2 linked regions of the Pelodiscus sinensis genome follow. The protein of the gene in region 2 purifies or fractionates together with the protein of the main gene of each other region. This does not show direct contact. Links are inferred from orthologs where the notes say so. Each region holds a gene or a part of one and is shown on either strand. Other genes may lie near its edges.

Region 1 (10,091 bases), on a different chromosome or scaffold from region 2:
GCCCTGGCCCTCCTCATCCCATCTCACACCTCCACTGTGGTCATCCCTGATGCTTCAGAGGAAGAAGATAAAAGCTCTGCCAGACGACAGGGAGGAAAGGAGGAGGAAAAATCCCTTCCCGAGCCCTGCCCAGGGCTGGCTGAAACTCTGAAGGATGAACTTTAGGAACATAGGATGTACACTGAAAGAGCATCCGGGGGTTGCTGAACCCTGCTGCCCGTCATTGGGGGTTGCCAATCATAGACTAAAATAAGACAAGATTCAGTCCTCTGCAGATGGCCAGGACAAGGGCTAGGTACCACTTCTACCTTGTCTTAGATCTTTGCAGGGCCTGGATTTCTCCAAATGCCTGGAGGTGGGCTGCATGGTAAAAAGGCAGGGGAAGAGCCCTGCATGAATACAAAATTGGTATCTGCATCCACGTTTGCAGATCAGGATATGGATACCCACGAGTCTATAGCAGATCTCCACAAATGTGCAGGCTTCTAGATACAAAATTGTTTTACATGTCTGTATCTGTATCTGCAAAAATGAGCGATGGATATCTGCAGCCACATCCAGGGATGTGAATACTTGCAGCTATGAAGTGGATAGCCACAGATTTGCGGGGCTCTAGGTATGGGATTAGGTGGGGTAGGGAACAGATATCCCACAATCTGACCAATGCAGGTGGCAGTAAACAAAAGCACTGGCCATCAGCTATTCAGAGCACGCTGGCTCTCCTGGAAATATCTGAATGATTTCAAATACAAATTCTTAGATCTCTTAGGCCTAAAATACAAATAAGAACCATCCTCCTACAGCCCTTTAGCTGTATTACCACCAACATAGCTGTAAAGCACCTTTTATTGGGAACCCTCCAAAAGCACTTTACAAGTCGATGAACAAGCTGGGGATGAGCAGATCACCAGGCTTACCTGAATGACCACCAGGGAACCGGTTGGTTAACCATCCCTGTTCAAACCCTGATACAGGCAGCTGTGACACGCCCACAGAGACCCTGCCCAAAGCAACCCCCTCCTGTGGTGGCCAAGACACTGGGCCCCAGACCCCATGGGAGTCAGCATGGAGCAGCTCCCACCCATGGCTGCCCATCTGGCCACTGGGACCAGCTTGGAGCAGCCCTCTGGCCATGGTGGGCCTGGCTGGAGCATCCCCCAGTGTGCCTGGCGGGCAGGCCCCTCCCACACATAGGCAATGGGATGGCAGGCTGGGCTGGACCCTAGACTCAGCTGCTCTGCACCAGCTCTCCAATGGTTAACTGGTTAAACAGCATCTTTTTAATACAGGGGTGGCCAGCCTGTGGTTCCAGAGCCACACGTGGCTCTTCAGCAGTGAATAGGTGGCTCCTTAGGTACCAAATCCAGGGATGGAGCTACAGCTGCCAACTTTCCACTGGGCTGTAGGGTGCTCTCTGTTCCACCCCCAGCTTTGCCCTAGGCGCTGTCCCCCTCCAACCCTTTCGCCTAGGATCCTGCCACTTCTTACCCTCTCCACTGAGCCAGTCACACCCATGCTTCCCCTTCCCAGTGTCTCCCACTGAGAGAGCTTATCGCAGTGGGCAGGAGGAAAAGGAGGAGGCGGCACTGACCGGTGGGGCTGCCCATGGGGGGATGTGCTGAGAGTGGTGGTGGGGAGATGAGCAGGGCTGGTGCAGGGCCGGACTGAGGCATGGGCTAGCTGGGCAGCTGCCCGGGGTGCCAACTGATGAGGGGCGCCTGATGGTAGCTGTAAGGGGCGCGCGGTGTCCCTTACAGCTGCCATCAGGCGCCATGCGCCTGGCTCCCACAGTGCCGGCACCACGGCGCCAGCCAGCAGCTCCCTTCCCCCCACGACCGTGGGGCCCTGCACTGCCCGGCGCATGCGCCAGCAACACTAGCCAGGCTGGGCTGGGCAGCGCATGCGCCATGTGCCCCGGGGGTGGGCCCCGGGCTGCGCACCAGTGGCTGTGGCCAGCCCATGCATGCGCTGTGCACCCCAGGGGCAGGCCCGTGCTCCCTGGGAGGGCCCCACAGGTGGGCCCGCACATGCGCCGTGCACCCGGGGGCAGCACTGTGCGCCCGGGCCCGGGGTGCCAAAAGGGCTCTGGCTGGCCCTGGGCTGGTGACACAGAACTGTGGCTGTTTGTCCATGTGCAGTGGTACATTCTGGCTCCTTCTCAGGGTTAGGTTGGCCATCCCTGTTTTAAGTTTAACCTGTTATCTATTCTATGGGAATTTACATTTCTAGTACAAGCTGCAGGTTAACAGGGATCCATTACTGAAAAGCAGTCACCTCTGGTGTGAAGCATGGTAGCTGGCAGTGTGTGTGTGTGTGGGGGGGGGAGTACAGCAAGACACACAACATTTCCTCACTATGATTAAGGGAACTCCTGCTTTCCAGCCATAATCCATTATTGTTGGATTCTAGAAATCAGCCCCCAATAATCAGCGTGTGCAATCAGGAAGATGAGCACTAAAATCACGGCACGATGCACACTGGGGTAGTTTAGGCCCCCAGCATGAAAAGTTAAGGGGTAGAATGCTCAGCTCCGGCCAGCAGGTATGCTAGGTAAGGGGGTGGGATAGAGAAGGGGAAACTCCATATGTTTTCATAGCATTTTGGACTTGTAGTCCCTGAAGCCCTCCTTAACCTGCCCTTAGGCTCTCTGCTTCCAGTTCCTTAGTGGTGATGGGAGAGGGGAGCTTCAGGGTGCCTCAGCCTGAAGACCAGCGTTCCTCAGTGCAGAGAGAGAAAAGTGTCTATTTCCTGCAGAGCTGGTGTCTTTAATTCACAGCTGGAACTTTTTTTTTTTTTTTTTGCTGGTGTGGGAGAAAAATCAAATAACTCCAATTGTGTCTAAGGGGGGACTGTGCAGGAAATCAAAACTCTCTAAAAGAAAACTGCTGTAAGGGTTAAAAGTTTTCCAGGCCTCTCTCCCTGTAACAGAGAGAAATCATCTTAACTCTAATCAAGACCCTTACAATTCCTCCTACCTCAAGTTCATGGAGACTCCTAGTCTGTCACAAATTGCCATGTAAACTCTTATCTTTGTCACAGTTTGCCTTGTAGACTCCTCACTCAGGTTCTCATGTGCCTTTGTACTGTAAAACTTACTTCTAGCACTTCTGGTGTGAACAGAAACCTCACTTCTGCTGAGACTTTGATATGTTAAAGAAAACAATCAACAACTAAACTGTCTGAGCATACTGTATAAAGGATCCCTGAACCTGTCTCTCAGGGCTGCTGCTGCTCTCACTCTGGTAGCTGTCAGCCTGCATGCATGCATAATAAAGTTTTCCTTCTAGATTTCTCTCCTGCCTCACTGCTTTGACCTCCAGCCTCGGACCCTTCTGGGGGTTCTGTACCCCAGGGGAGTGAGATTTCCCCAACACTGGTTTAATCAGTCATGGTATATTTTGACATCACTGGAGTCTATGGGCAGCAGCAGGAGCAGTGAGATATTATCTAGTAAAACTGTAAGGTACCGAACACAGGGTGCACCCAGCACACTGCTAAATCTGCCCACACAGCCATCAACCCCTGGATATTTAATATCTTAAGGGATTTACATTTACTTGTGTCAAACACAGCTCGGTGCCAGGTTTAACTGGCGGGCTTCATTTTTTAATATTTATTGAAAATATTGAAAAGATGAAGCACATACACCTGTGTAGGCGAGGCTTAGAGACCATCAACATCAATTAAAGTCTCCCCAGGATTTCAAGTCTTGTAACCTTTAAAAAATAGAGATTAGATGAGGGGAGGCTGCACACAACCACACTCATCCATGGGTATGGACTTTACAGTCACAGAATTTTGCACCTGTGCTTGTGAATGGCCAAACCAGCAGTCCCCAGGTCCCTACAACTTATTATCTAACTGATCTCACATTTGTGTTGGTTAATATATGAACACTCTGATCATAGCTCACCCCATGTTCAAAATCTGAATATTCTTAATCCAATGAACGTGAAAATAATAACAAAAGCAGAAGTCTAGCGGGGGTGGGCCTGACGTGGGTGGGCCATGACACACTTATTTTTCATCCAGGTCCACCCTGCTCGGGCATAGGGGCTGACACACCTGCGCCTGGACTAGGGTGCTGGTCTGACCTCACTCTGCTAGCACCCCAGCCAGCATGCGGGGGTTTTACCACCCCAATCATTACCCACCCACCAGAAGGTGGGGCCACCCCAGCGGGCCCTTCTGGTTAGCCACTGAGAAGCACAGATATATTGTAAGAGCAAAGGGGCTCCACCGGGTGAACATAAAGTTTTCAATTTTTCAGGCTTGACTGGGAATTAAAGCCATTGGACTCTGAGGCACTAGTAGGGGTTTGTGCCTGAAACTGGGAACTCTTCAGCAGCCTGAAACCTGGCCCTGCTGGGATGGTGCTATAGGTCGGTCTGCACAGACAGAAGGTGAATTGGAATCGAATTGTTCACAGGTGGGTCCTAGTTTCATGCACCCTGCTGTCCAGAAGGAGAGTTTGCAGGCGGATTAATTTTTTAAAAGAAAGCTGCTTCCTTGTGTTTTGAAGAAGAGAGAAGAGGAAAGCCATCGCTTGCCGGTTGGTTTTAAACACAGGCAGCAGGGCAGCTTCAACAGTAAAACATGGAACAAAATGCCTCAGAGAGGTTTCCGTGGTAGTCTGTCGCTTTAAAAACAACGAGCAGCCCTATGGCACCTTAGAGACTAGGAAACACAATATAGCATCATGAGCTTTCGTGGGCACAACCCATGTGACAAAACAGCTTTGTCTCCACATTTTGGCACAAGTGCGGCAGCGGTTTAAGTGAATTGCTTGTTCTTAGGAGGCCTATTGATGGCTGGGCATGGTGTGGACACAATCCGCTGAAACAACAGGGAGATTAACGGGGCTCCTCTCCCAAAGTGCCTTTGTGGAAGCTGCATGAACGTCCCACACCTTGGCCACCCATCCCTTCCCAGTGCCCATTCTATGCCCCGTGGCATGCTGAGATCCAGGTTGCAGCTGGCCACAAGGGGGCGTTTGCAGGGGATCCCTTGCAAAATGCAGGAGACAGACACTGGTAGCAGTAATCCAGAAATCCCTTTAAGCCCTGTTAAATCCTTTGCCTAAAGCCTCACATTGAGAAAAGCTGCATGAGAGAGGCATACTGTCAACTGTAGTACCAAACAACTCAAGCTTCCAAGAGCCCGGCTAGCTCAGTCGGTAGAGCATGGGACTCTTAATCCCAGGGTCGTGGGTTCGAGCCCCACGTTGGGCGCAACCTTTTTCCCCTATACTCCCAGGAGAACGTTTTTCCATGCAGCTCCCTAGACTCCCCCAGGATCGCGTGGGGTCCTGGGCTGGCTTGCTAGGCGTCTAAGAGCAACGCGGACTCCCCAGGCTCGGGCAGGGGGATGCAAACGAAGGGCCGCTGGCCGGGGAGGAGGAGTGATGGGAGAAGCACACGGAAGGGGCTCAGGCTGCAAAGGCTACAGGGCGCGGGGGAGGGCCCGACACAGGCCTGTGCCTTGTGCAGGGAAGGGCAGCGCGCAGCCCTCTGCTCCGAGCCAGGGCCGGGCGCTGGGCACAGCTGGCCACGGGACGCCCCGGCCGGGCAGAGCGCACGTGGCGCTGCAGGGAAGCCTGGGGCCGGCCCCGCCCAGGACTACAAGTCCCGGCATGCCCGCGGCGGCGGGAGCATGCGCAGAGGCGCGGGGCTGGGCGCTATAATGCGGTGGCGCTGGCGCGGCCCCGCCGGCAGGGGAGGGGTGGGGAGGCGGGCGAGGCTCTTATAAATGGCGCCCAAGCAGGACCCCAAGCCCAAATTCCAGGAGGGTGAGTGCGGCCGGCGGGGCGGCCTGGAGCGGGGGGAGGAGGGGGGGGCTGTTGTTGGAGCGCGGGCTATTGGGGGGGAGAGTGGGGGGGCTGGGGGGGAGGATAGATGGGAGATGGATGGATGGGGGAGGAGGCTGGCTGTTGGGGGGGATGTGAGGGGGGGCTACTGTTGGAGCGCGGGCTGTTGGGGGGGCTATTGGGGGGCTGGGGAAGGCGTGCGGGGGGCTGTGGGAGGGTGGGGGAGGATGGGTAGGGGGAGGGTAGGGGGGTGGCTGGCTGTTGGTGGGGGAGGGGAGCTGGGGGCTATTGTTGGGATGGGGGATGGGTGGGTGTGGGGGGTTGTTGGGGGGGCTGCGGAGCATTGTTGGAGCGTGGGTGAGGAGTTTCTTTTGGTGGGGGATGGGAGCTGGGGACTGTTGGGGTGGGGGGTACTGGTGGGGCTGGGGGTGCCATGGGAGGCTGGCTGGGAATGGGGCTGGGAGCCCTGTGGGAGGCTGGAGAGGTGCAGGGGATGCTGGCTGGGCTGGGGGTGACAGGGTGTTGGGGTAGTGGGGACTGGGAAGCTGATTCTGTGGCCAATCCATGCTCCAGTAGTTACAAAGCTCTGGGGTGTGGACCAGAAAAAAGGCCCTTTTTAATCTTCCAGCTTCAGTCCCTCCCCCCTATCTCTGCAGTGGGGGAGCGGAGGGCTAAAAGGAAGAGATGGTTCTTTGAAAAAAGGCAAAACACAACCTCCTCACCCAGTTGCTTGTAGGTGAAACCACTGTCACTATCTGTGCTTCACACAGCTTGTGTGCACTGTGTGTCTGAGAGAGTGGTTTGTGGGCTGCAGGGTTGAAACACGGCCTACGAGGTCAGTTATGACCCATGGAGATGATGTATCCTGGCAGGTTGTGGTGAAACAGAATGGCCTTTCAGTTTAGATCTAGGTGCATGGTTCCCTGCTGGAAGCCATCTCCTCCAGCTACTCGATTGGTAGCTGCAGTATAGGTACTCCATTTTACAGAGGGCTTGCAGCTTCTTGGCAGTCTTTCAATGAGGCCCTCAGTTAAGCAAATTTGGACTCCCTTGTGTGGTACCTGAGGGGCAGAGGGCTTTTAGGATGTTCCAGCTCCCTTGCGTGCAGAGAATTAGGAAATGGCAGTGGTTTCTCTTAGATAATTCTCTTGTTTTTTTTCCATACTTCTCAATGCTCTCAGCTCACCCAGGAGACTCAGGACTTGTTCCTTTGTTTAGAGTGTGCTTGACTTTTGTCTTTTTCATCGGTGTGTGTCAAAGCATTCTGATAGATATCAGTGGGCATTGAAGCCATTGAAAGATTTTTTTTATCAAGTTGGACTGTCAAGATTTTCCTTTCTTGAGGTTGAGAAGTATGTTTACTTCATTACTTAAATTATTTTTATAAGCTCGCCCAGTTGGAGATCTTGTATCTTGTCTTGTGACATAGTCTTTATTAAATATGGCTTAAGGATATTGTAAACTACAGTATGCTGATTATTGTGGTGATGTGCAACACTGTTATAACTATGGTGATCTCTGTTCATAACAACCCCCCCTTTTTTAGACATAATATTTTAGGGCATGACTCGACTACAGAATTAAGTTGACCTTATTTACGTCGGCATCCAGCAGTTGCAGTAATTACATCACTTGTGTGTGTCTGGTTTCTTCTGTCAGTCGTGTGTGCGCTCACCAGGAGCACTCGTACTCATTGTACTATCAGTGTGGGGCATTGTGGGATGACTTCTGGAAGCCAGTAATAGTCACTATAAGCAATGCACTGCTGATGCTACATCCATGAGAAGCATAGTTAGGCCAATGCAGAGTGAAATGCCCTGCTGTGTTACCTTATGTTGTCTAGATTAGGGCAAAATTTTAGTGTAAACATGTGCATAGGCTGCCATAAGCTGCCGTGCATTGAGATAATGGTAATGCAGACCAGGCCTTAATTCTCATCAAGCTGAAACATGACATACACTTTTCATGAAAGATGCAACTTACTCAATAAAATCTGCTTTTAAAATAGGTGGTGTTTTTTAGAATAGACAAATGACAACTGTAAGGGTAATATTTAAATATGTAATTTGAAAGACTAATGGGTGTTTTGAATGTACATGTTGAATTGTACTCGTAGATATGGGAAGTGGTATTGTTTGTGCTGATGTGACTTTCTGGTGTAGTGTGTAATATGCCAGTTGGTTTTTTATTTTAGCTTTAGAGAAGCTGACAGCAAGTGGTCTTTAAAAATTTCCCCTGGATTTAGCAGTATGTATTTGCTTATTTAAAAAAAAAACAGATTTAACTTGCAAAGTTGTCTTTTGCCTTGTATCTTGTCCATTCTGGATCTGGATCCAGCAGATGGCATTTGATTGAAACCCTTCAGAAGTCAATGGAAAGATTTCCCTGGGAGTCAGACCAGGTCCTTAATGAATAATACATTAGAATTCACCTTACACATGTAAAACTACTGCAGCATTAAGCATTGAAGCCCCAATCCTTGCAACTTGTGTTTTGTTGTTGTTTTTTGCTTACCCATTCACATCCCTATGCCAGATAACTGGTTAACCGTTACCCAGGAGTGGCCAGCCATGGATGGAGGGCTGCTCCAGCCCCATGGGGCTGCCAGCTCTGGGAGTCGTCAGCCTCTCATGGGGTTGGGAGGGGCAGCTGGGGGGGAGCAGCTGCTTTCGGCCCAGCACAAGGCTGCCAACTCCTAGCTTGCGTGGCCTGGGAGCCAGCAGCCCTCTCCACCTCCTCCTGACTGCTGCTTCCAGCCCCAGACAAGGCTCCCCACTCCTAGCCCCTGCAGCCTGGGAGCCAGCAGCCCAGAGTGGGACCAGAAGCAGCTGGGCTGGAGTAGCCCCTGCACATGGTGTGGGGGGTCACTCCAGCCTGCCCCCGTTTAATCAGTTAACTGGTTAAATGCTAAATTTAACCAGTTAACTAATTAAATGGGATTTTTTCATTCCTAATCTGGAGCCCCATGGAAGCCAAGATTGTGCCATGTGGGCAGAAGAACTTGCAGGCTCGGGGATAGCTCTAGCTTAGGAGCTAGGAGCAGCATTGCTAAGCAACAAAAACACTTGGCATAGTTAGGTATTCAAGAATATTGACAAAGCATGTCTGGTTATCTTTTCAGAGCTGTTTAGACCCTAGTGTGCTCCAGTCAAAAATGTCTGACTTTAGGAAAACTGAATGCAGGGGTCCCCTGTAGTGCACCTTGTGGGTATGTACTATAGACATACAATTCAGAATTGTTTTGATTTAAGTTGGCGTGGGGAAGACTCCTGTAAACTTTTCTAATGTGTTTTCTTTGAGTATGAGTGTAGGTGATGGGGAGAAGGTTTTTGTCAGTCTTTGATTTCTCAGTAGTGAGGAGTCCTGCAGAAATAGTGCCACAGAATATTCTTGTTGTATTTATGTAAAGAGTCTAACTCTCCTTAAACTTAGGCAGCTCATTTTTCAGAGCAAATAAACAAGGCATGTTTTCTAGTGGTGTTAACAAGCAATGCAAAATAGTCGTGAAATAGTGTAGTCATTTTAAGTAGGTGTTTTGCATGCTGAGTAACTGGCTTTAAATTAAACAGAAAACCTTTTAAAATAAGTTGGTATTTCCACTGTGCAAAAAATATTGCCTAGAAATATCAAACCGGTTTTGGTAAGCTGCTTTCATACAGATGTTCTCTTGACATAATTTTGCACAGCAAACTATTTTATCTTGGATTTGCTGTCTTGTCAATGTATCTCTTTTTCTGACCCATTTTGAGCACGAAATCCTGCTGGTTATTTGTGGAGTTCACTGTAAATCTGTTTTATCCTACCACTTTACTGAATAAGGGAATAAATTATTAATTGGAAAAGTGACTTAGTAAATGTATCACTAAATATTTGGTGCAGTATTAAACCAGCTTATTTTGTAGGCATAGAGTAAGGAAAGCTAGAAATGCCCTTCTTGCAAAAAGAAGGGATTATTGGTTTCTCAAGCAGTGGACTGTATCCCCTGTAAGGCTGTGTTTCTCAAACTGTGGGTCCCGACCCCCCAGGGGGGGTCACGGTATCACAAAGTTTGAGAGAACCCCTGCTGTAAGGTATTGGTAAAGCTTAATTATTTTGGTATACAGGGTGCAATCTTTGTTATAAGAACTGAGGGAAGATGTTTCCTCTTGTACAGTACTGCCTTCTGTTAGATAAATTAGACTTCCGCTTTGTAAACAACTGCAGAATAAGGATTTTATAGCAGCTGAAATCCTGATCAAAAGTGAAACAACTACTTCCCCCTCAATGCCCTCATTCAGCTGCATGC
Region 2 (9,962 bases):
ACTTCTGTCGACAAAACCCTGTAGTCTAGACGTACCCTTACAGTCACTGCTTTCAATACACTAATGTGGAAATTTTTTTTTACAATAATTGTATTAAAGGAGGCTCATCTTCATTATATATACCCTCCATGGTTGCTATTCAGATTCCTATATTGTGCCTTCTAATATAGAGCACAGTAAGGTGGGGAACTATAGTCTATAGTTCTATTTAAATTCTGACTTTTACATTTTCATTTGCTCTATGAGGCCATTGAGTAATCCAGGGAACAAAATTAAAGCTTTGCCATTATACATATTAATCTCCCTGACCCTGTTTTAGAATGGCTTGTTGTAATGAATGATTTTAAAAACATCTCTATTTTTAGTTAACATAATATGAGTTCACCTACAATTTTACACTTCCACCACTCTCCCCAAGAAGAGAAGCTTATTACAAAACAAAGGCTCTAAGAAGAAATCCATCTTGAAATTTGTGATCTCCATTTGAGAGGAGAGTGTGCACTTTGTGCTGTATCACAAAAGTAACCATCATTTCAAGTTACTGACAAAAAATAAAATGCAGAGAATAATCCAGCAGAGTATTTTTAAACTGTAAACTCTCAAGACTGGCAAATCTGCACATAGCCACTTTATATTTGTGCGCCATGTTTGTGGCTTAGATTCAAATGCAAATTTTTTATCTGTGCAAGGTAGGGATGTTAAAAAGGGGTTTTCAGCATTTACACATTGGGTGGGGTGGGGGGAAGGCAGTTCCGCGGGATAAGGGACGCGCCAGGAGCTGGCTTTTAAGCTGCCTGCCCCTCTCCATTTTCTCCCTTCCCCATACTGCTGCCTCTATATCAGCACAAGGAGGGGAGGCAGAAGCCAGTGCTTGCAGAGAGTTGGCTTCCTGCGAGCACCTGCTCCCATGGAGCTACCTGACCCAGATACAGAGGCAGCATCAGGGGAAGGGACAGAACCTTGCATGTAACTGTGAGGGTTAACTGATGAGCCCAGGCTCATCAGTTAAACATTTAAAGAGATATACTAACACATCCTTAGAGCAAGCCTCTAGGTATTACCTCTTACTTTTCTAAAAATTTCAGAATTCCTAACTTACAATTCTGTAAAAAATTTGTAAAAACAAGATTAAAAGAGTTCTAAAGCCCAATGACAATCTATTCATTATAAAATTTCAAAGAAGGAAATATGCTTTTACTCACTGGTGCTTCTGACATTAGGACCGGGTGCAAACTTGCTTCAGATTTAATGTGCATCTTGTATGTGTGATCCAAAATTGCCTGGAAACTGTCCCAGTCCTCAACTGTAACAATGACGTTTAGACAATATTATTCCATTTTCAAAAAGAGACATAGTTAATTGAGTCATCTAAAAACATAACTTTAAAACACATAGATCAACCATCTCCTGAACAACAGTCTTAAAAATTCACACACTTCAGCAGCTCCATAAAGTTCTATGCTGCTTACCAATTACATTCGTCCCCTTCTTTTTCCCCCACCACCGTTATCAGGTGGGACCCATTCCAGCTCATTACATGGAGGAAAGTCTCTATAGTTCTTCCTCAGATCAGACCTCATAATTAAAACCATTTTAAATACAACATTTCATTTTTGGACCAAGAGTATTAATGAAAATTGAATATATTTTTTTGCCCGTGACAGATAAAACTTTGCAGCTGAATATAAAGTTAGTGATCAGATTTTAAGAACAAGAAGAAAAAGACAGAGCACCATACTCATTCCATTTTTTAAGGGTGAAATAGCCTCCATGTTTTCCCTTGGAACTCGCAGTGCATTGGTGTCTATATAGTAAGTAGGACCTCCTTGTTTTCCTTTGTCACCATCTATTTCCATCAAGGTGCTGCCATCATCCCTTTCCAGTACCACACCAATAGCAGTGGGAAAGTCAACCTGCAATGTAAAATATGGACCAGGTATGGCAACTGCAGAGTGGGCATTTGTTTATTCACTTATAACAAAGTACTGTTTTCATTTCAGCTATACATTTAAAAAAAATGTCTACAAATTCAAAACTTGTTCAGTGGTTCGTAGAATACGTAAAAAAACCATTTAATCACAATGACTCTTACCTTTGGACAATCCTCACCAGCATAGCCAGCTCTCACTGTATAGGAACCAATATCGAAAACAAGAGCCCCAACTTCATCTGTAAGGATTAGAAGTAAATAGGCAGGCAATAAAATCTCTGTGCTTATCAGCAAAAACATACAAGCCAACACACTTTTTGTTAAACGTGAGTGCAAACCACCATCGCAACTTTTAACCAGGATTTAAAGCTGGCAAAGAACAAAATATTTTCAATTGAAAATATTAATTGCAGAAAAATTACCCCAAAAAAGCCATTGTATTTTAAGTAAATAACCAATAAAACAGTACTTTCATTCAAAATTAGGGATGCAAAATCCCTGTTAAGCAGGCAGGGGACTGCACCAGTCCACCAGTTAACCATAACTGGTAAAGTGATTTTCAGAATGTGTTATGATTTACTCACAAAGTTATACTTCCCCCTACACTTCCCTGGATTATTAGAAATTAAACAGGAAAATAATTAGAATTAGATGTGACAGTCTATAACACAGATGTTTAAGAAATACATCCATTCCCTTAAGTACTGATCTGTAAAGAGACTCCATATGGGCTCAACGGGGTCAGGACCCTAGCAAAATTATTAATAATACTAATTATTATTATTATTTTGGTAGCACTGTTTACAGGAGATGCTCTGGTGCAAGATCTTGGCTTCCAAATATATCTTTCGATGGCGTGCTAACCTGAATTTCCCACCAAAGTAACAGCACCAAATGTTGCCTTACACCATTAATCTGCCTTACAGATCTAACAAACGGAAAAGGCCACAATGAAATTTACCAAAGACAGAAACTAAGAAAATACAGGACTATGTAGTTGAAGCAAAATGCAGGACAATGTAGCACTTTAAAGACTAACAAGATGGTTTATTAGATGATGAGCTTTCATGGGCCAGACCCACTTCCTCAGATCAAATAGTGGAAGAAAGTAGTCACAACCATATATACCAAAGGATACAATTAAAAAAATGAACAAATATGAAAAGGACAAATCACATTGCAGAACAGGAGGGGGATGCGGGGGGGGGGGGGGAGGAAGGAAGGTAAGTGTCTGTGAATTGATGATATTAGAGGTAGGGAGAGCGGGATGTTTGTGGACTATGTAGCACTTTAAAGACTAACAAGATGGTTTATTAGATGATGAGCTTTCGTGGTCTAATCATCATCTAATAAACCATCTTGTTAGTCTTTAAAGTGCTACAAAGTCCTGTATTTTGTTTCAGCTACACCAGACTAACACGGCTACATTTCTATCACTATTCTAGAAACTAAGACGACCTTCAAACTAGTTAGACCTTCCACTTTAATGAAAACTTGCAAGGTATACTGAAGGGAAGCACTGTGTGTTTCCGACCGCAGCTGAGTGGAGTTGTTAGCTTTGATGGGAAGAACGATGCTGGTGGTGTTCATGGGTGGAGCATTACAGCTGTATCTTAGCAACGCTGTCACTTTATGGACCAGAAGAGCAGCAAATAACTGGGGAGGGGAAGAAGCGCAGGGAGCGGCAGCAAATCGATTGCAAGGAAGCTCAAGGCTTGGGAACGTGGCCGGATTACGCGGGGCTGCATGGGAAGCTCCTGGGTAGGGGGAAGCGGCATCAGCACACGCACAAATAATGGACAGACTAGAGCACATGCCTGTAGGGGGAGGGGGTGGGAGATGCAGCAGGCCTGTGGGGGCTCGGAGGAGGAGGGGGGGCAGCTAGGGGAAGCCTCGTGTGGAACAGCCCTGGGCGAGGCGGGGGCTGGGGGAGGCCCGTGAGGGGCAGCAGGGGCTCGGAGGTGCTGGGGGGCAGCAGGCAGGCGCTGGGGGGGGGGGGGGCAGAGAGGCCCGTGGGGAACGGTCGTGGGGGGCAGCAGGCAGGGGCTGGGGGGGGTTCACAGGCGGGGGGGGCGGGCACTCACCTCCCCCGTACACCCCGCCGCTCATGGCTGCCGCCGGGCCTGTCTCGCGCCCCGCTCCCGGCAGCCCCCGCTAACTACTTTCGCTGACAATAGCGAGCGCGAGTCTCCGGCCCGCGCTCACTCGCCCCGCCGGCTCAACCGAACTTGCTGCTGCTTTCCCCTCAGACCAACAGAGCGCGCCGGCCGGCCCCCGCAACCCCGAGAGCGGGCGGCCAATCGTGGCCAGCAGGGGGCGGGCCGAGACAGCGGGAAACCTATCCCTGTCAAGAAAAAGAGTGAAGGAAGCAAGTATGGTTGCAGTGTGCAGGGTCAGCGGAGGTTGGGGTTGGGGGACGGGGCAAGGAATTGATTGACATGGGGGTAGGTGGGGCTGAGGGTGTGGAGGCTGGGTCTAGGGAGGGATGTTTGGGGGCCGGGGAAGGGTGTTATGGGGCTGGCTGGGGGTTAGGAAGGAACTTGGGGGGCTGGTTAGGGTGCTATGGGGTTGGCTGCTGTTGGGGGTTAGGGAGAGACTTGGGGGGAGGCTGGGGCTTGTGGGCCAGCAAGGGATGCTTTGAGACTGTAGTTAGGGAGACAAAAAACAGGCCTATGCAGCACTTTAAAGACTAACAAGATGGTTTATTAGGTGATGAGCTTTCATGGGCCAGACCCACTTCCTCAGATCAAATAGTGGAAGAAAATTGTCACAACCATATATACCAAAGGATACAATTAAAAAAATGAACACATATGAAAAGGACAAATTAAACAATCTTGTTAGTCTTTAAAGTGCTACATAGTCCTGTTTTTTGTTTCAGCTACACTAGACTAACACGGCTACATTTCTATCACTAGTTAGGGAGAGGCATTTTAGGGTGGGAAGTTAGGTGGGGTATTTTGGGGCAGGATGGTGCAGGGAGCCTAGAAAAAGGTATTTTGGGATTGCCTTAAGTAAGGGGTTGAGAACTGGCCAAACCTGATCTTCATCAGGGTAACAAAAGGCCCGAGGGGAAAAATGCAAAAAAGAAAGTGTTTTTGCAGTGTTGGGATGCTCTTGGGATACCCTGAACAGTAAGCTGCTGAGTTACCTCTCTGCCTCAGCAAAAGAACGTCACTGGAGTTCAAAGGACATGAGTTAGGTCTTTGCCACACCAGGTGTCACCAGTAACACTGCTTACCTTTCCTTTATCTTGCAGGTAACCTTGAAAACCAGTTCTCAAGTTCCCCCAAGCTGTTTTTCTGTAGTGTCCATTCTCTATTCACAGAAATTACTAAATTTGCTTTCTCCAAAGAGACAGAATGCATACCAGCCTGTTAATGCAGCTGAAGATATATGCCTGTAACAGCACAGAGATGTAAGTGATAGTAACTATGAAAAAGAGAGATTAAGAAGAGATGTAAGTGATAGTAACTAGGAAAAGAGAGACTAGTATGTTACAGATACAAACAAAACAAAATAATGTGCTAGTGATTAAAGTCTAACTTTAGCAAGTTACAAACTTTGCCTAAGCAGCTCACTTGAATCAAACTTCTGAGTACCTTTCCTAGGCCTGGAAATTAGTTCTGTGTAGACTTGAAAAAAGTCTTTCATCATCTCCAGCTGGCTTAATAAAACCCACCTTGTCACTCTAATAAAACATGCATGACATTTTACAGAGTTCAGTGCTTGCTACTCTACCATCAATATCCCTTTCTCAAGTACCCCTCCCAATCCAGTTTACCTCCCTTCCTGAGTCTTCTTTCTTCTGTTGCTCCCTGTTCTCCTTTTCCAATGGAATAAAATCTGTATAAGCCCCTGTCAATTTTGTACCTTCCCACCACCCCCTATATCCTCCCAACCCAGTGATGGTCCCTTGGCATCTCAAACTTCCTGCCTCAAAATCTGGATATTGGGCTGAGCTCATCTGATTCCCTCCTTTCCCCTGCTTGTTACTAAACTGCCATCCTCACTGGATTGTTCTGGCAGAGAAAGAAGGGGTGGGAGATGTTAGTATCTGCCCTGGCATTTGGCCAGTAAAGCCATAGAACACAGCACAGAGAGCTAGAAAACAAAGTTAGGAAGGACTAAGTAGTGAGCAGGGAAGTGGAATGGGGTGGAGGAGGGAAAACAGGAAATTGATGAAAAGGAAAAGGGACTTGGAGAGTTCAGGAGCCAGAGAACTAGATAGGTAGATCTGCCTAAAATTCCAAGTGTCCAATCCCATGATTTGCATAATATTGACCATTGAGAAATCTTAAACTGGTTGATTAGGGCCTTTGTAGAATAATTAATGCCATTTTTCAAAGTTACATAGAGCACATAGCTAATTTTTGCATCCTAATACAAAGATCAGATACTGGCTAACCACAGATCATATGTAAAATACATAAGGCTGAATACTCTTTTCACATACGTGTGCACTGTTCTTATTGATTTTGGTGGAAGTTCTGATTTTGGTGGAAAAGTATGTGAGGGTGATATGTCTCATATTTAAATCTCTCCTTTAAAATCACTTCCTTGGCTATCCTTCATTGAGTGATATTTAATTCATTCATACATTTAGAAACAATAGTATGAAAGTAAGAGATCCAAGAAAACTGTAAGCTTCATTTTGTAGAGGAAACTGAGCCTCAAAGGATGCTGTTAGCTCTTCTTTTGCTAACCCCACCTTTTCAAAGTACACTGCCATTTGATTATATTTTCTGCCTGATTCTAGATTGTAAGTGCCTTGAGGCAAGGATCTTGGACCTTGTTCAGATCTCATTTATACTAGGGTAAATTCAGAGTAACTTCACTTTGTTTGTAGAGTTATTTAAAAATTACACCAGTGTAACTGAGAGCAGGACTTAGTCCATTCTCTTTATATTTCCCTGTAAAGTGCTTTTTTATATTTCTTGCACTGTATAAATAAAACATAGTTTATTTATGTAGAAATATAACTTTTTAAATGTTTTAATATGCGTCTCTTGACCTTTTGCCCTGAGGAAAACATTAGAGCTGTGGTGGGCAATATGTGGCCTGTGGGCTGTACCTGGCACATCAGAATACTCCACTAGGGGCTGCGAGACATGTTGCTGATGTAGCCCCTCCTGTCCGCTATCCCAGTATGAGGTTATTCAACATAGGGGAAGCTGTGTGACTTTTTACACAACTCTGGGAGACTAGGCCTGAGGCTCCTTTGTGCATTCTCCATCACGTGTCAGTGTGTGTGCTCTTCAGACCAGACCCACTCAGACAAACCACCAGGAACAGGCTTAATTCTGTAAAGTACGAAGAACAGGATTACAGTACAGCAGCCTCTTCTCTGCTTGCAGCTTACGTGTTGCCAGCTCAGTCAGTGCTGAGGCCCTGCTGGGAGGCAGAGGGTACATCATGGCAGGAACCAGGAAGTTCTCCAACATGTCATAGTTTATAGTCTACAGCTTTTAGTTCCAAGGGCTGCTCCTGAAGCACACTGGACCTTGGGCTACACCAGTGTTGACTATCTGCATGCACAGGCTCCCCAACCCCGTGTGGCCATGGTTTGCTGTTCCTGGCCAATGGGAGCTGCGGGATGCAGGGACATGCTGGCCACTGCTTCTTGCAGGTACCATTGGCCAGGAATGACAAACTGTGGCCATTGGGAGCTTCGAGGGACTGTGCCTGCAAAGGGTCAAATCAACAAAATGTCTCGTGTGCTGCCAGTGAATAATGCTGATTGACCATGTGTAGATCACAGGCCGCAGGTTGCCCACTACTGCATTAGAGGGTACATGTGCACAAACATAGAAGATCTATAGCACAGCTGTGGCTGGCCCAGGTCAGCTGTCTTGTGCTTGTGGGGCTCAGGTTATGAGATGAAAAATTGTTGCATGAATGTTCGAGCTGGAGCCTAATCCCTGGGAATCTGAGCCCCAACATCTACATAGTGATTTTGACCCCTACAGCCAAGGTCAGTTGACCTAGGCCAGCCACTGATGTTTTTTCCTGTACAGACTTACCCAGAGTGGCATGAAACTTAATTATCATAAACTACTTAGTACTAACGCTGTCCATCAAAATACATAAGTTATGCATTTTTTTCAAGTGGACACCTGTAAAAACTTTCCCTTAAATCCTTTAATACAATAAAAATTCCAGATAAAGGATCTGTGGCCCCGGAACTATATTTGGGATGGGGGTGCTGAGCTGCCCCTTCCCTTGCCCCTTTTGGCCTGTTGAGATTGGGTTGCCAACTAATGATGTGAATGGCAGGGAGTTGCTCTAGCTTTGCGAGGCCTGCCTTGGGCAAGAGGTGCTGAAGCATCCCCAGTCCCAGCTGGACTGAAGTGCCTTCCCACCCATTCACCCGTTTAATTGGTTAAGCGGTTAACTACTTACATAGGATTTTACATCCCTATTGCCAATTCTTCTGGACCAGATGGACTGGATTCCATTGCTGCAAATGGCATCTGGTCCATCAAGTCTGGGAAAGTTGACAATCCTCACCGTTGGAGCCACAGTTGGGAGCAGTTGCAGAGTCCTGGGCCAGTGGTGGGACCCTGTGGCTGGCGGGGCCAGCGGTCTGTGGAGACTGTGGCAGGGCCAGCAGGCAGTGGAATCCCGAGGGCTGGAGGAGCTCATGAGGCCAGTGGGTGACGGGACCCTGAGAGCCGGTGGGACCCTGGGGGGTTGGAAAAGCCTGTGGTAACAGAATCCCAAGGGACTGGCAAAGTTCATGGGGCCAGCAGGACCCCATGGGGGCTTCCCAAAGGCTGGGACCGAGAGCTGGAGGAGCTGGCAGCAGGGCTGGCCTCTAAGTGCAGGGAAGACAAATGCAAAACCCGAGGGGTGCTGTAGCATTCCCTGCACCTATGTGAAAGATGTTCTAATTCAACAAAATGTTGTTTGTAATCAGTGAAGCAAGAAAAGGAACAAAGAGAATCTAACTGTAATGTGCCAGATTCTTCTTTCACTAGAATTACTCCCAATTTATACTAGTGTAAGTCTGAAAATATGTAAGCTGTATGTTTGTGGTTTTGGACTACAATTCCCAGCCTGCTGCACACTAAGGGTGGGCTGGTGATTGATAGCTTCAATTTAAGTCTCCTCCTACACCAACGACACTGAATTGCAGAGGAAATATTAAAACCGAGCAATAGGAGACAACTCGGACGAAAAACAACAACCCCAGTGTTGCAAGGGAACCAGGAGATGGTTGGATGTGCTAGCGCTTAAGGGTAAGTTATTCCTTTGATTTCATTTAACATGTATTCTCGTTCTCTTTCTCTGTTTCTTTAGTAGGGAAAATTCTTTCAGAATTTCAGCTTATCCTGCTGTCATTGAGAAGAAATACATAGTTATATGTACCACTGTTTAGATTAACAAAAGTGTGTAAACTAGCAAATCGTACAAGATACTGAAATGAGGAAGATCAGTGTAAATCCTGTTTTGTATTAAATGCAGGATGAAAAATCAGGTTACCTGGCACCCTTTGTAGGTCTTACGAAACCTTTTGTTGATGGTGTATTATCACAATTTCCAGCATGTGGCACTAGTACACAAGAGAGGGTTGTTGGAGGAGGAAGAGATTATTGCAAGAAAGAGACTAATTCAGAAAATGTGAAATTGTAATGGCAAAGGATTTATCCTTAGATGTTTTATCTTTCAAGGTTATTACTGAAATAATGCTTTGTGGAAAGTATACCGTTCTTTGAGCAGATCCTGGACTGCACAGCAGCTGCTTGCGCTGCTAGTGCTGAGCAACTATAAAGCCAGTTTAGCGATTCCCAGATTATTGCTCCATCATAAGGGAATCCTTGGATGGTGAAGAGCCACCAAAATGGCTCCTATGTCATTCTGTCTCATACCAGCAAGCCAGAGAGGTGTGGCAGGAGGAAAAGGCATGTGTCTTTGCGGGGAGGGGGGGGAATGTCCAGCTGGTCCCTGGCTGCAGAAATGGCCACTGATAATACATATTAAACACTGCTTTTATTTGCCTGGGAGTTGAGGCTAGTCTTTGGCAGCCCTA

Evidence for each region. The genes of interacting proteins can lie anywhere in the genome.
Region 1: the proteins of ACTL6A (region 2) and MORF4L1 purify together in Homo sapiens (affinity purification with mass spectrometry; 6 studies listed by BioGRID and IntAct, with this or other methods). This does not show direct contact. The link is inferred for Pelodiscus sinensis from reciprocal best matches to the Homo sapiens genes ACTL6A and MORF4L1.

Annotation. Positions count from the first base shown.
Region 1 is NC_134724.1:1,222,194-1,232,284, forward strand, and holds the start of MORF4L1 (mortality factor 4-like protein 1), read left to right. Parts: upstream 1-5,653; 5' UTR 5,654-5,748; coding exon 5,749-5,788; intron 5,789-8,968; exon of another isoform or gene 8,969-8,983; coding exon of another isoform or gene 8,984-9,014; intron 9,015-10,091. UniProt on the Homo sapiens protein: Component of the NuA4 histone acetyltransferase (HAT) complex which is involved in transcriptional activation of select genes principally by acetylation of nucleosomal histones H4 and H2A.
Region 2 is NC_134720.1:44,785,408-44,795,369, reverse strand, and holds the start of ACTL6A (actin-like protein 6A), read right to left. Parts: upstream 4,174-9,962; 5' UTR 4,040-4,173; coding exon 4,015-4,039; intron 3,692-4,014; exon of another isoform or gene 3,596-3,691; intron 2,170-3,595; coding exon 2,093-2,169; intron 1,914-2,092; coding exon 1,739-1,913; intron 1,304-1,738; coding exon 1,203-1,303; intron 1-1,202.